Drosophila melanogaster: one gene and its partners. The protein of the gene in region 1 interacts with the protein of each later gene in a pairwise test. Each region holds a gene or a part of one and is shown on either strand. Other genes may lie near its edges.

Region 1 (3,753 bases):
ATATTCGCAAATCCACAGAAGAAATAATTATTTTGATTGTCAAAAACACGTGCAATGTTTGCCCGAAATGCTATCGAGGTCTATCGTGAAATCGATATGGCGAGATTCGATTCCTGTCGTCAATCGATATTTACAGGTCGAGTTTAAATTTCAATTTGCATTTTTTGGAATGTGGCAACGCTAAAGGAGCGGGTAAATTTAAACATTTACCCTCTGAACATTACACATTATAATTGACTTTTCTGCTAGCACTTTTCTGTTGGCTTTAGATTTATTTTTGGTACACAATCGCAGGTGGTTCGGAATCCCGTTTGCTCTCTTACGTTGGCTTTGGACTTAAAACTAGGTCTTGAGATGTCAGGTGGGAGCTACAGATGGATCAGTACGGGTCGGAATCTTCCTCGCTGTCGCTATCGCCATCCGCCCACACAATGGGCCACACGGCGTTGCGCGAGCAGCTGCCGCCTAAGGCCTTGCAGAACGTGTTAAAGGTGCTGGCCTGGGTAAAGCCGAGGATCTCGCGCTCCTCGTAGATGCGGTACGTGAAGGTGCTCTCGTAGGTGCCCACAAAGTAGCGGGCGTAGGCGCAGACCAGCTGGTCCACCACCGCCACGCCCCCATCCTTCAGCTCCCTTCGTTGGACATTCGACTCCGGCGCGAAGTGCACGAGGCGGAAGCGGTAGAAGAGCTCCTTTAGTTCCATCAGCTCGTATGGCGTGGCGTCAGTGGCCAGGAACACTGTGGTCATGTTAAACCCGCGCAGCAGCTGCTTGACCTGCTGGGCAGCCGCCTTCAGGGTGGGAGTGGTCGCATCCCGCGAGCGAACAAAGTCGCCCCGCCTTAGGTGGGCGCAGAGGTAATCGCCGCCCTTGGCGTTGCGCTTCGGCCGCTCCAGCTCCCACATGGCGGGCCGTTGGACACCGGCCGAAGCATCTGTGGTGTCCAGGGCCTGCCGTCGGAAGTCGGCGGCCACCTGTTCGAGCCGACGGGCGAAACGCATGGAACGCCGGGCCTGCCAAAAGTGCTCGTCGCCCCAGTGGTCGTGAAGCACCGTTTCGGCGCTGAGCAAAGCGTACGTGCGCATGTCGTCGACGTCCTCCGGTCCCGCCGTGTCCTCGTCGATCGCCTCGCGAAGCAACTTCTCCAGCAGTCCGGCGCTGCCCTGGAACCGAACGCAGTGGAAACGCCCCACGCGCAGCTCCGCCTGCTGCAGCAATGGTCCTCCCGACAGGGATCCCTCGCTGCACGGCTTGTCCGTGACGCGCTCGAACTTGTCCCGAAATATGCCCTGTTCTAGCATGACCTCGTAGTGCTGCAACCGGAAAGCGTGCCCTACATGGACCAGCGGTGCGCCAGGATTGCCGAATAAGCGCTGTTCGGCCAGGAATTCCTCGTAGTCCAGAACGGGCGCGTAGCGACGCAGACTGGCCAAGTCGAAGAAGTGGCTCCAGGGCAGTCCAGATTGCTGCAGGCCCTGCGAGTGCCAGTGGTAGAGGCGGGGCCACGGCGGCAGCACAAGGCGCACATGGCGAAAGCGCCTTCTCCTCTGCAGCCGGCGCACGAACACCGCCATGCGAATATAGACGTCTCGGCGCAGGTTGAAGCCCTCGGAGATGTTTACGTCGTAAAGGATATACACGGCGCCCCTCATCCCGAGCACCTCAGGCGGACAAGTCGCTGGCAGTGGCAGGATCTCCTGCAGGAACCCTTTGACGCAGGTGCCGCTGCTTCCCCGGGAATCGCCAATTTCCCGCTTTGCAGTCCCATTCCGGACGGCGGCATCCGAGCCGGTCAGCAGATGGAGGAGCAGGAGCAGCGCCGGGAACCCAAGCCTGGGCCAGCTCCCTCGCATTTTTGGTTTGGAATGGAGTGGCTGTGGCGGCGGTCAGTAAAAAACCCTAACGCATTTGGTATTTTACACGGGAATAAAACAAAGAAAAACATATGACTTTGATTTCTAACAACGGACAATCCACTCTTTCCAATATTTTAGCAGCTGTACAGATAAAACCTATAATTTTTTTTATAAAAAAAGGCCTATAGAAAACCCATGTACATTACGGGAGTGATACACCATAACTTTGCAAAAAAAAACCACACAGCCAAAAAACTTACAGTTTTGTGCAGCTTACGATCCCAACTAACGACCCATATCACTTTCCTGCTGATTTTGAAAAATTTATTTTTTTCCAAAATTTTGCAATTTCGATAAGGGATAACATCAAGAAATTTTGCGAAAAATGTAAAAAAATTTTCATTTCCAGCCTGGAACGCCATTCGATTGCAATTTTTATTGCGAGTGCAACGAGGTATGGCACTTAATGATGGGGCTGTTATTTACGTTGTGGTGAACAAAAAACTGGCAGAAAACCAGGATATCAGTAATAGTGTTCTTATCAAAAAATCCGCATTCTCATAAGGTTGTTGCCGAGCTCGAATGCAAATCGATGTCTATTTGCACTATTATTCCCAACGATTTCCATATAGCACCTGCTTGAATGGGTCTTTAAAAAAGCGTATGTAAAAAGCTGCGCGAAAGCTTCGCTCGCTAATCTCGAACAGCTGAGTGTGCAAAACATTTCGTATTGGCGTTCTGGCGTTTTGGGGCCGTCTGGATGCCTCACTCAGTCAGATACGAGATACGGAAGCCCAGCGAACGGAGGAGGGCGTGAGATGCGGACGCCGTGCGTGACCACAGTACAAACTAGATTACATTAAGTTAGACTAGCTAATCCCAAGCTGAACCCAGGCCCCTTTCCCGCCGTCTGGACCCCTCTACCCCGTCCGGAACGCTCTACGAAAGCAAGTAACTAACTAACACACCACTCACCGGGCAGCAACAACAGAAACGAAGATGGAGGGGCGACGGGCGGCACGATCTGCTCGGTCACGCTCTCGTTTACGAGCGACGTAAGGTGTTTGCGTAGTGACTGGCGCGGGAGAGCCAAACGTGCCGTTATTCTTCATTCATCAATGGCGAGCCTCCCCCTCGTGCACCCGAACCCACACGCCTGTCTCGTTACGTAAAGTCCTTGCAAAAAAAACTTCCACTCTCGTTGCGTGAGAGGAAATCCAGGAGCTGATTGAGGGTCACTGGGATGCTTCGTACAGAGTTCACTACTCGACCAAATTCGTAGAATGAATTTCGTAATTCGGGAATGTTTTTCCCCCCGCCATATATACATAAATACTCAGTCTCGTGCCTGTCAAGATCCCAATGTGCCCAATGTGCACCCCTCCCTTTTGTGAGCGGCATGCACATGGTGTTGGTGCCGCTCGCTCGGCTGAGGGTCAAGATCGCCGCAAAGAAATGCTCGCGAAGCCTAATATTTGTGCATCCCGCGACTGCCATGTTTGAATTTAGCATTCGCAAACTGCACTCATCCCACTCATCGTGCAGTTTCAGTGCGGCATTCGGCGCAGGCGAACAGCCCATAGCGATATCGAAACCCCATAGCCACAGGCCACATACCAGAGAGCACAGATCACAGCAAGTACCCTCCATATTAAGTACCATGGCCAGCTCCTGTCCCCGCGGCGCGCATTCAATGACCTTCGAATATTGCTAGGAAGGCCGACCTCCCCTTCGTCGTCGTTGCTGTCGTTGTTTTGGTTTAGGTTGAGCAATAGTCTAAGACCCGCCCGTTACCCTTCTCCATGTCTCCTTCCGGGCAGCATAAGTGATGGTGCCTGCGGCCGTCAAGCTGTTGCAGGCCTCGCTGGGCCAGTGGCGTCGAGGGAGCAAGCTGCATC
Region 2 (3,753 bases), on another chromosome or scaffold:
TCCGCCGAATCCCATCCAGAAGGAAACTATCAGGGAAACGAGGAAGCCAAGCAGCACGCCTCTTTGGTTGCTGCGTGTAGTGCAGACTCCCAGTGTGAAAATGGCCAGCAGCGGACCGCCTACCACACCGAAAATGGTAAGCGATGCCTGAAGAACTCCGCCCATGGAGCCAGCGACAAAAGCTAGACCGATGCAAAGCAGGCCAAAAATGCACGCCACAATCTTGGTGGGCATCGTGGACTTGGAGTCAATTAGCGTCCGTTTAAATATCGCCTTGTACAAGGGCTTCAGGTAATCCTCCAGTGTTACAGCCGACAGCGAGGTAACTGCCGACGAAATCGTGGAAAGACTGGCGGAGAATATTCCGGACACGAACAGACCACACAGTCCAGGATATTGACCTGCCGGAAAAAGAAATCAAATAATGCTAATTCTTATTGGATGTCTTTCCAACTCACCCATAGTCTCCAGTGCGAAAAGGGGCATGATCTGATCCCGCTTGTCGATGCGTCCCTTTAGCAAAGGGTCACAATCTCGATAATAGTAGAATATGGACAGTCCACTGAAAATGGTGCTAAAACTAAGCATTCCTAGGATGGGCAGGTTCCACCAAAGCGCCGACTGAGCGCTCTTCAAATTGCGGACACTCAGGAGTCGCTGTACTTGCGTTTGATTAACGCCATACAAGGAGAGGTAAGTGACCATGCCGCCAATGATCAGAGACCACCAAGTATGCCTCACGGTGGGATCCAATGAAAACTCAATGAAGTTCACGCGTCCTCGCTCCACAGCCACATCCCAGATGGCCGCGAATCCGCCGGCTTTAATGGCCGACACGGCAATCACGGCGTAGATGGCGGCAAACATGAGGAAGGACTGAAACACATCCGTGATGAGCACCGCCTTCAGGCCGCCAAGTGTCGAATAGAAGGTGCACACCAGTCCAATGACCACGATGGCCATTGACCGATGAATGCCGGTTACAGCTTCTAAAGCGAGCGCTGGTGCATAGAGTGCAATGCCCATGTAAAGCACCATTTGCACGGTGAAGGCCAGGGAGGCGGACAGCCGGGTGGCCTGGCCAAAGCGCCGCTCCAGATACTCGTACACACTGGTCGTCCGCATCCTGTAGAAAACAGGAAGGAAGAAGTACGCGGCAATGGGCGTACTCAGCACGTAGGCAATGTTGATCACACAGAAGATGGTACCAAATTCGTAGGACTCGTTGGAGACGCCCATCAGTGAGATGGCGGACATGAAGCTTGCCATCAGGCTGAAGGAGACCGGAAAAGTGGTCATGCTCTGGTCCGCCATCAGATACTCCTGTGTGGTCTTTTGCTTGCCGCCTGTATACCGGTAGTAGATGCCAATCAGAGCCGATATGACCAGGATGGTGATCAGCACGGCCGCATCCCAGGCGTCAAACGTTCCCACGGGCATGTTGTTGTTGACTGGATTCCGCTTGTCAGAGAACTGGAAGTTCGACGTCCGTCACTGGTCCGAATTGATTTTTCCACAAGCGTCACCACCAGCGGCGATTGGACGCTTCTCTTGCCCAGCAATGACCTTTGGCGCAGTCAACGCTTTCTAAAGTGCGCGTCCAAGTGCACGGCGAACGGCGGAAAACAAGACGCGTGCTCGCGAAATCTCCGCTCAAAAAAGAAACGTTCTTGCCGAGGCTACGACCGTTAAATAACTGATCAGCTGAGCGGTGAGTGTGCCCTTGCAGGGTGTGCGGATTAATGCTGTAATGTTTTCCAAGCACATTAAGCTTACATATTGAAAGGCCATTGAATACCCTCAACGAAAGCAACATTGCTGTGCTTTGGTCCCACTACTTTTTCCCGCTCATTGTTTTGGTTAATTTTTTGTTTTGTTTACATGCAGCGAACATGGAATCCATGGAGGTTGATGAGTCTGCTGCCCAGCTGTGAGTGCCTTTGGTATGCCTGCGTAGGAGTTATAATGTTACCCAACCACCCGCCATAGCTACGTTCGCACGCCGGAGGATGTGAAGGCCATTGTGAAGCATGCGAAACTGGACGAGCGCCAGTTGACCCAACTCACCCAGGCTCTGTACTTTCCCTCGGCGGACGTGGATTCGGACAATCTGCGCCTTCTGGAGCTCGATGGGCACATGCTTGGACAAATCCGCGACGGCCAGACGCTATATTTCAAGGGTGGCCAGAACGAGAAGCTGGTGCTGTGCACCGATGAGCGAACGTACGACGTGAAGGGCGCGGAAATATCCAATAGCCTTTTGCTGGTACCGGACCTCAAGTTTGCCGCCGCCACCAGCACCTCGCCGCTGAAGAGTCCGCGCACTGGCAACGCCAACGCCTCCCTGGAGCGCAGCCTCAATGACAGCACGGAGGATGAACTGGAAGTGCCGCGAACTCTGGAGCAGCGGCCGGTGCTCAAGGTGTTCCACGAGTACTTCGAGTGCCGCGAGATAAAGCCGCGCTTTCGCAAGCTGGGTGAACTACTGCAGCTGACTCGATATTCGGGGCCGGAGAACGAGTTCTGCGTGGAGCAGAAGCTACTCTTTACCTTTTCGCAGCTCCTGGACACGGTGCAGTGCAGCCGCGGTCAGTTCATGGAGGGATTGAACCAATATCGAGCCATAGAACTGGACGGGCGAATGCGCGTGATGGAGTACGAATACGAGTATCGCATTATTAACATGATGCTGGGTTTGATAAGCGAAAACTCCTGGGCCTTGGACGAAGTGGAACGGGAGGAGACCATCAATGCACTGAAGGGCATAGCTCCAGAGGATGTTGTGGCTGGGCTGTTTGATATCTATACCATTCCCAGTGAACGTTGCCCGGGCAAGTTTGAGTACCAGGAGTCCTTGGTCTCCCGCATTGTGGCACAGAACATTCTTCAGCCGGGTTTGCGCTTTCGCAACGAGGAGTTCATGCGCACCTGGCAGGAGGTACTGCCCGAGGGCATGTCCTGCGACTTAAAGTACCTACGAGGTCTGGGCATTTGCGACAAGGAGGGAGCGCAGCCTTGCATACGCTCCCTGGCAGAGGAGTTACTGCCCACCAATATAAGCGATCGCATGCGGGCGCTATTTAAGACTAAAAAGAGATGGACGATGGAGGAAATGGAACCGTACATAGAGTAAGTAATGATGAACACATATCTAGATTGTTTTTTTGATTTTCGGTTTTATAACTAGGTGCTTTACCACCCCAAACTTGTCCGTTTCCACACTATTGGCCAAGCACGCTCGCTCATTGACCGATGGAGGTGTGCGATACTTTGTTTCAAAGCATTGATGGAAACATCCAAGGCTATAGCTTTGTATCTCTTATTCAATAAAACAGCTTTAAGTTAGATTAGGCATTCCGTTTTCGCTTGTTGCGATCTTTTTTGGCCTGCTTCTGGTCCTCTATGGCCGCCTTCATGGTCTCCACGGCACTTTGAGTATGACTCGTGGCTAATTGGGCCGCCTCGCTGTTGGGATACTTGAAGCTGAAGCCTCTGGGGAAGATGGGTTGGGCCAGGAGAGCATTGAGCTGCGCTCTAACTGTCTCCACGCGCAGCCGATTGCGACGTCGCTCAATCACAAATGGATCCTCATCCTGGTCACTGCCACTGCAAAAGTAAGAGTTAGTCATAGACTTCATTTTAATGAGATCTTGTTAAAAAAAACTTACGATTCGTCATTGTAGCCATCAATGATCATGTCCATTTCCTCAGCGTGCTTCTTCATCCAGCCGCGCTCACTCTGCACGCGCTTCA
Region 3 (3,753 bases), 9.3 Mb from region 1:
CCGGCTCCTCTGACCCCGGCAACCTCGTCGCCGCATAACAACCATGAACAAAATCAGCCAAGTAATATCAGTGCAGACGCAAGCCACCACACCAGTCCAAGTTCAAGGAGCAACCCCAGTCCCAGCCTAAGTAGGAGCAGAAGCCAGAGTGCGGAGTTGGAGCCAGTGCCGCCATTGGTTGAGCTTGACACCAGGGAGACGCTCTGAGCTGATCGCCGCTGCGGCCGATAATGTTTTGTACTTGAAATACTCCTGTGGTCTGTTAGCTGTTAGTCTCCGCGCTTAGTTATATTTTGCAGACCGTGCTGCTCTTGTTATCTAGTCCTTCCCAGTGCCCCAATGCTTGGTGGTTCCAAAACCTGTGCATTGCATATTGGTTTTGCGTTATTACCTTCGTTATATACTATATGTATATACATATATATATATATAGATATATGTTTTTATAATTTTATTGTGATCCAAAAATAATTCCTTATGTTTGCAAGGCAGCAGAGTTATTTATATAAGCAATATAACTGAATTCTATGCACACACACACCCACCCACACACACACCACACACACACACCACACACACACACACATGTTTAACGCGAACTCGAATGCGATTTCCGAGCAGCTGAACCAAAATTGTATACGATATCCGATCGCATAGTATAAATCTGTACTGTCTAGCCTTATGTCCGGTCCATGTCCTTGTCCAAATCAATCCATTTGATCCGCAACTCGTAGTCTTTAGGCTCATCGAGCGGCCCAAAAATTAGGCTCTATTTATTAGGCAAATTTTGTCATAGTTTGTATTGCACGCAAATAAAAGCTAACCAAAAAAATGAAAACACCGCTTATTGTTTCACTTGCAAACCAATCGGTTTCTTATAAAATTTTTAAAGTCCCTCACACATTTCAACCACGAATTGTGCCGTGTGTGACCACTGTGCACCACACATGCCACCCACTGTTGCCCCAACATCCACAACACGCTCCACTGTTTTGAAATTCCGATCAGAGGCGACCCACGGCCGTGCTGCAGCGGCAGCCATAAAAGTCGAATCAGAACGTTAAACCAGTTGCGACGCACAGTGGGCGTTGGGAAGAGAGAGAGGGACGCCGATCCAGCGAGCGAATCAGAAAGAGATGGCGAAATGCAGTGCTAGCCAAACGGGAATTTGTGGGTTCTTGAAGAAAACTAAAAAAAAAAGAAAATATTACTCATACGCCGCGTTGTCTACATGATTTAATAATATATATTGCATATTTTGTACGGATGGTTTTAATAAAATGTAAATGTTTTATTGAGAAATCTAGACAACTGTATTTATTTAATAGTTTTACTTTTATTTTGGAATGAACACAATCACACAATACGGTCAATCTGGCCCACTGTGCCGATTATAACAGTTAGCGGCGCAGGCGCAACAAACTAGTTTGCCCCACAAGCAGCGGGGAGTGGCAACTAAGGGGGGTGGGGGGTGGTTCTATTTAGGGCGTTGCAGGGGCGTCGTCAAAGGGCGCGCGCAACTAAATAGCCAACTGACTAACTAACTAACTGGGAGAGCGCGAATGTGAGTGTAAGTCCGAGTGGGAGTGGGAGAGCGAGCGTGAGTGCGCTAGTGTGGAGCGGAGCGGCGTGCGGTTAACCGTTAGCCTGCAGCGGCGGCAAGTTCAGCTCGCAGTTCAGTTCAGTCGACCAGCGGCCGCCGTGGACAAAGCAACGTAACGCCAAAGCAATCGCAGCGCAGCTCATGGATATATAGCTACAGTTAACTACCAGATACTAAACTACACACATTTCACCACATACCCAAATATACCCACCACACGCGGCATATATCTCTATATATATATTTGAGAATTAGAGGCGTGGGGGTTTAGGGGGTGGGGTGGTAACTCGCGCGAGGGCGTCACACGCGTTCATATACATCAGATATAGATATATAGGGTAGCTGCCGATCGACCAGCGAACATATAGAAAGCGGTGGTTATTTTTCTCATCTTATTTTATTGTGACAAAAATCGCGACAAGTGTTTAAAAATAGTTGTTGTGCCCAGCTAATAAAGTAAACTTGCCCGCCAAACTGAAACTGAAACTGAAACTGAAACTAAGCCAAGCCAAACTATAAACAGCAACAATATGGTCGAGACCGTTGTCAATATCGAGCGCACAACAACAACAACGACGAACGGACCGCCAGGTGGAGCGAACCCGACCGTTGGCAGCGGTGGCGGCTTCTGGAGCGCCATTCGCCTCAACATCGACTATTTCCGCACCATACCGGGCATCATCAAAATTGTGGAGTTTGTGAGTACATACAACTAGCTGAGATATATCACTACTATATTTTTATAATTCATTATAAAACAAATGAAAATCTAATACTTAATATTGCAACATATGATATTTCGAAACTATTGAATACGATCCACTTGAGTAGAAGTCTTTTAAAAACTGAAACCAAAAACTGGGCCAAATTTCCAAACATATCAAAATTATGTACATTACATGTTTCTAAACTCTTAGATTTAAAATATGCATAAATGTCGGTTTAAATAGAACTTAGGAATGCGATTATGTTGAAAAAGTACCATAATGTACATACATTATTTTGTGGAATGCTAAATTCAGACATAAGTTTCCGAATTTGGCTGTTATCGTATTTCCTCGAAACTGATAGAGCCTTCGAAACATAAAGTTTCAGAGGGAAATATTAAAATATACGTTGGATAATTGTTGTAGAGAAAAGTTAGAATTCCTCATAGCACTCTTATCGTCATAAATTGAACGGTTTTATCTAGAGTTTGCCTTCCGCCACCATTCTTTATCGAGATATCTCGAGACTTAAGAAACCCTAGAGCCTCGATGTGTACTCAATTACACAAATATGTATACAATATGCCCGACAACAAGTGTGTTGTGCACTTGCCCCTTTTGTGTGTACATATGTCAGGATCTCATTAGACTTACGACGGATAAGATAGGGGTAGACAAGTTGTAGGAACTGCAAACATGTGAGCTCCATGGCCATGTGGTCAACTCATAGCCCTCTTCTTGTATTCCACAGACGTTAAACACTTAACGCATTTGGCCTGGTATTCGAAGCTATGTATGATCTATCTTTTTTCCCACAAATCCGCAGCAAAATGAAGTTAAAGTGTGGGCGATGCAATCGGTATGCGACGCCAACACAAGGTACTCGCAATTATATGAGTGGGCACTGGGGTAACTCAACTACCGCTCGGATGGATCACCTGCTCAGGTGTAGAAAGTTTTCAGGCAAAAATTTCTCTATTCTCAATGGGCCAACGCTTGGTGGGCACAAGGTCAAGGGATAACGACAAGTGCTTGGGACCCACATGAAAAATGCATTATTAAGCGCTCGTCAGTTGTTACGGAGAAAATCAATAGCGGATAAATGGGAGGAGTGCTGGGTGCTTCGATGATATGATTACCGTCACAATAAGCTGTCGTTTATTAACTTATATATATTGATTTTCTGTTCTGAAAATCGGCTATTATCAGGCGACTAAGCTAGTTTAGCTGACGGCTGACGAAGTAATTTGCGGATGTTCTGGTAGGACTTATTTCCAATTCATATACTAATCTGACCAAAAAAGGAAAGCAAATACTTGTCATTCAAATATGCTTTGATTTCACCAATGGCTAGTTAATTTTCTTTTTCGGTTAGCGGTGTGCCTGTCGATTGGGATATTTTTGTGGCAACTAATCTTATCGGTACCCTTAAGCGATAGTCTG

The links.
Region 2: the proteins of O-fut2 (region 1) and CG10444 interact in a two-hybrid assay, tested with the Drosophila melanogaster proteins (one large-scale study listed by BioGRID).
Region 3: the proteins of O-fut2 (region 1) and CG15211 interact in a two-hybrid assay, tested with the Drosophila melanogaster proteins (one large-scale study listed by BioGRID).

What each region holds. Positions count from the first base shown.
Region 1 is NC_004354.4:1,464,128-1,467,880, forward strand, and holds O-fut2 (O-fucosyltransferase 2), read right to left. Parts: upstream 1,870-3,753; 5' UTR 1,853-1,869; coding exon 380-1,852; 3' UTR 236-379; downstream 1-235. Other genes in the region: CG14777 (uncharacterized protein), read left to right, coding at 3,684-3,753. UniProt on the Drosophila melanogaster protein: Catalyzes the reaction that attaches fucose through an O-glycosidic linkage to a conserved serine or threonine residue in the consensus sequence C1-X-X-S/T-C2 of thrombospondin type I repeats (TSRs) where C1 and C2 are the first and second cysteines of the repeat, respectively.
Region 2 is NT_033778.4:20,272,799-20,276,551, forward strand, and holds the start of CG10444 (uncharacterized protein), read right to left. Parts: upstream 1,702-3,753; 5' UTR 1,441-1,701; coding exon 459-1,440; intron 402-458; coding exon 1-401. Other genes in the region: CG11788 (uncharacterized protein), read left to right, coding at 1,893-1,930, 1,990-3,129, 3,188-3,287; CG9143 (uncharacterized protein), read right to left, coding at 3,348-3,606, 3,669-3,753.
Region 3 is NC_004354.4:10,770,866-10,774,618, forward strand, and holds the start of CG15211 (uncharacterized protein), read left to right. Parts: upstream 1-1,675; 5' UTR 1,676-1,761; intron 1,762-1,902; exon of another isoform or gene 1,903-1,932; 5' UTR 1,933-2,133; coding exon 2,134-2,301; intron 2,302-3,753. Other genes in the region: BTBD9 (BTB (POZ) domain containing 9), read left to right, coding at 1-207.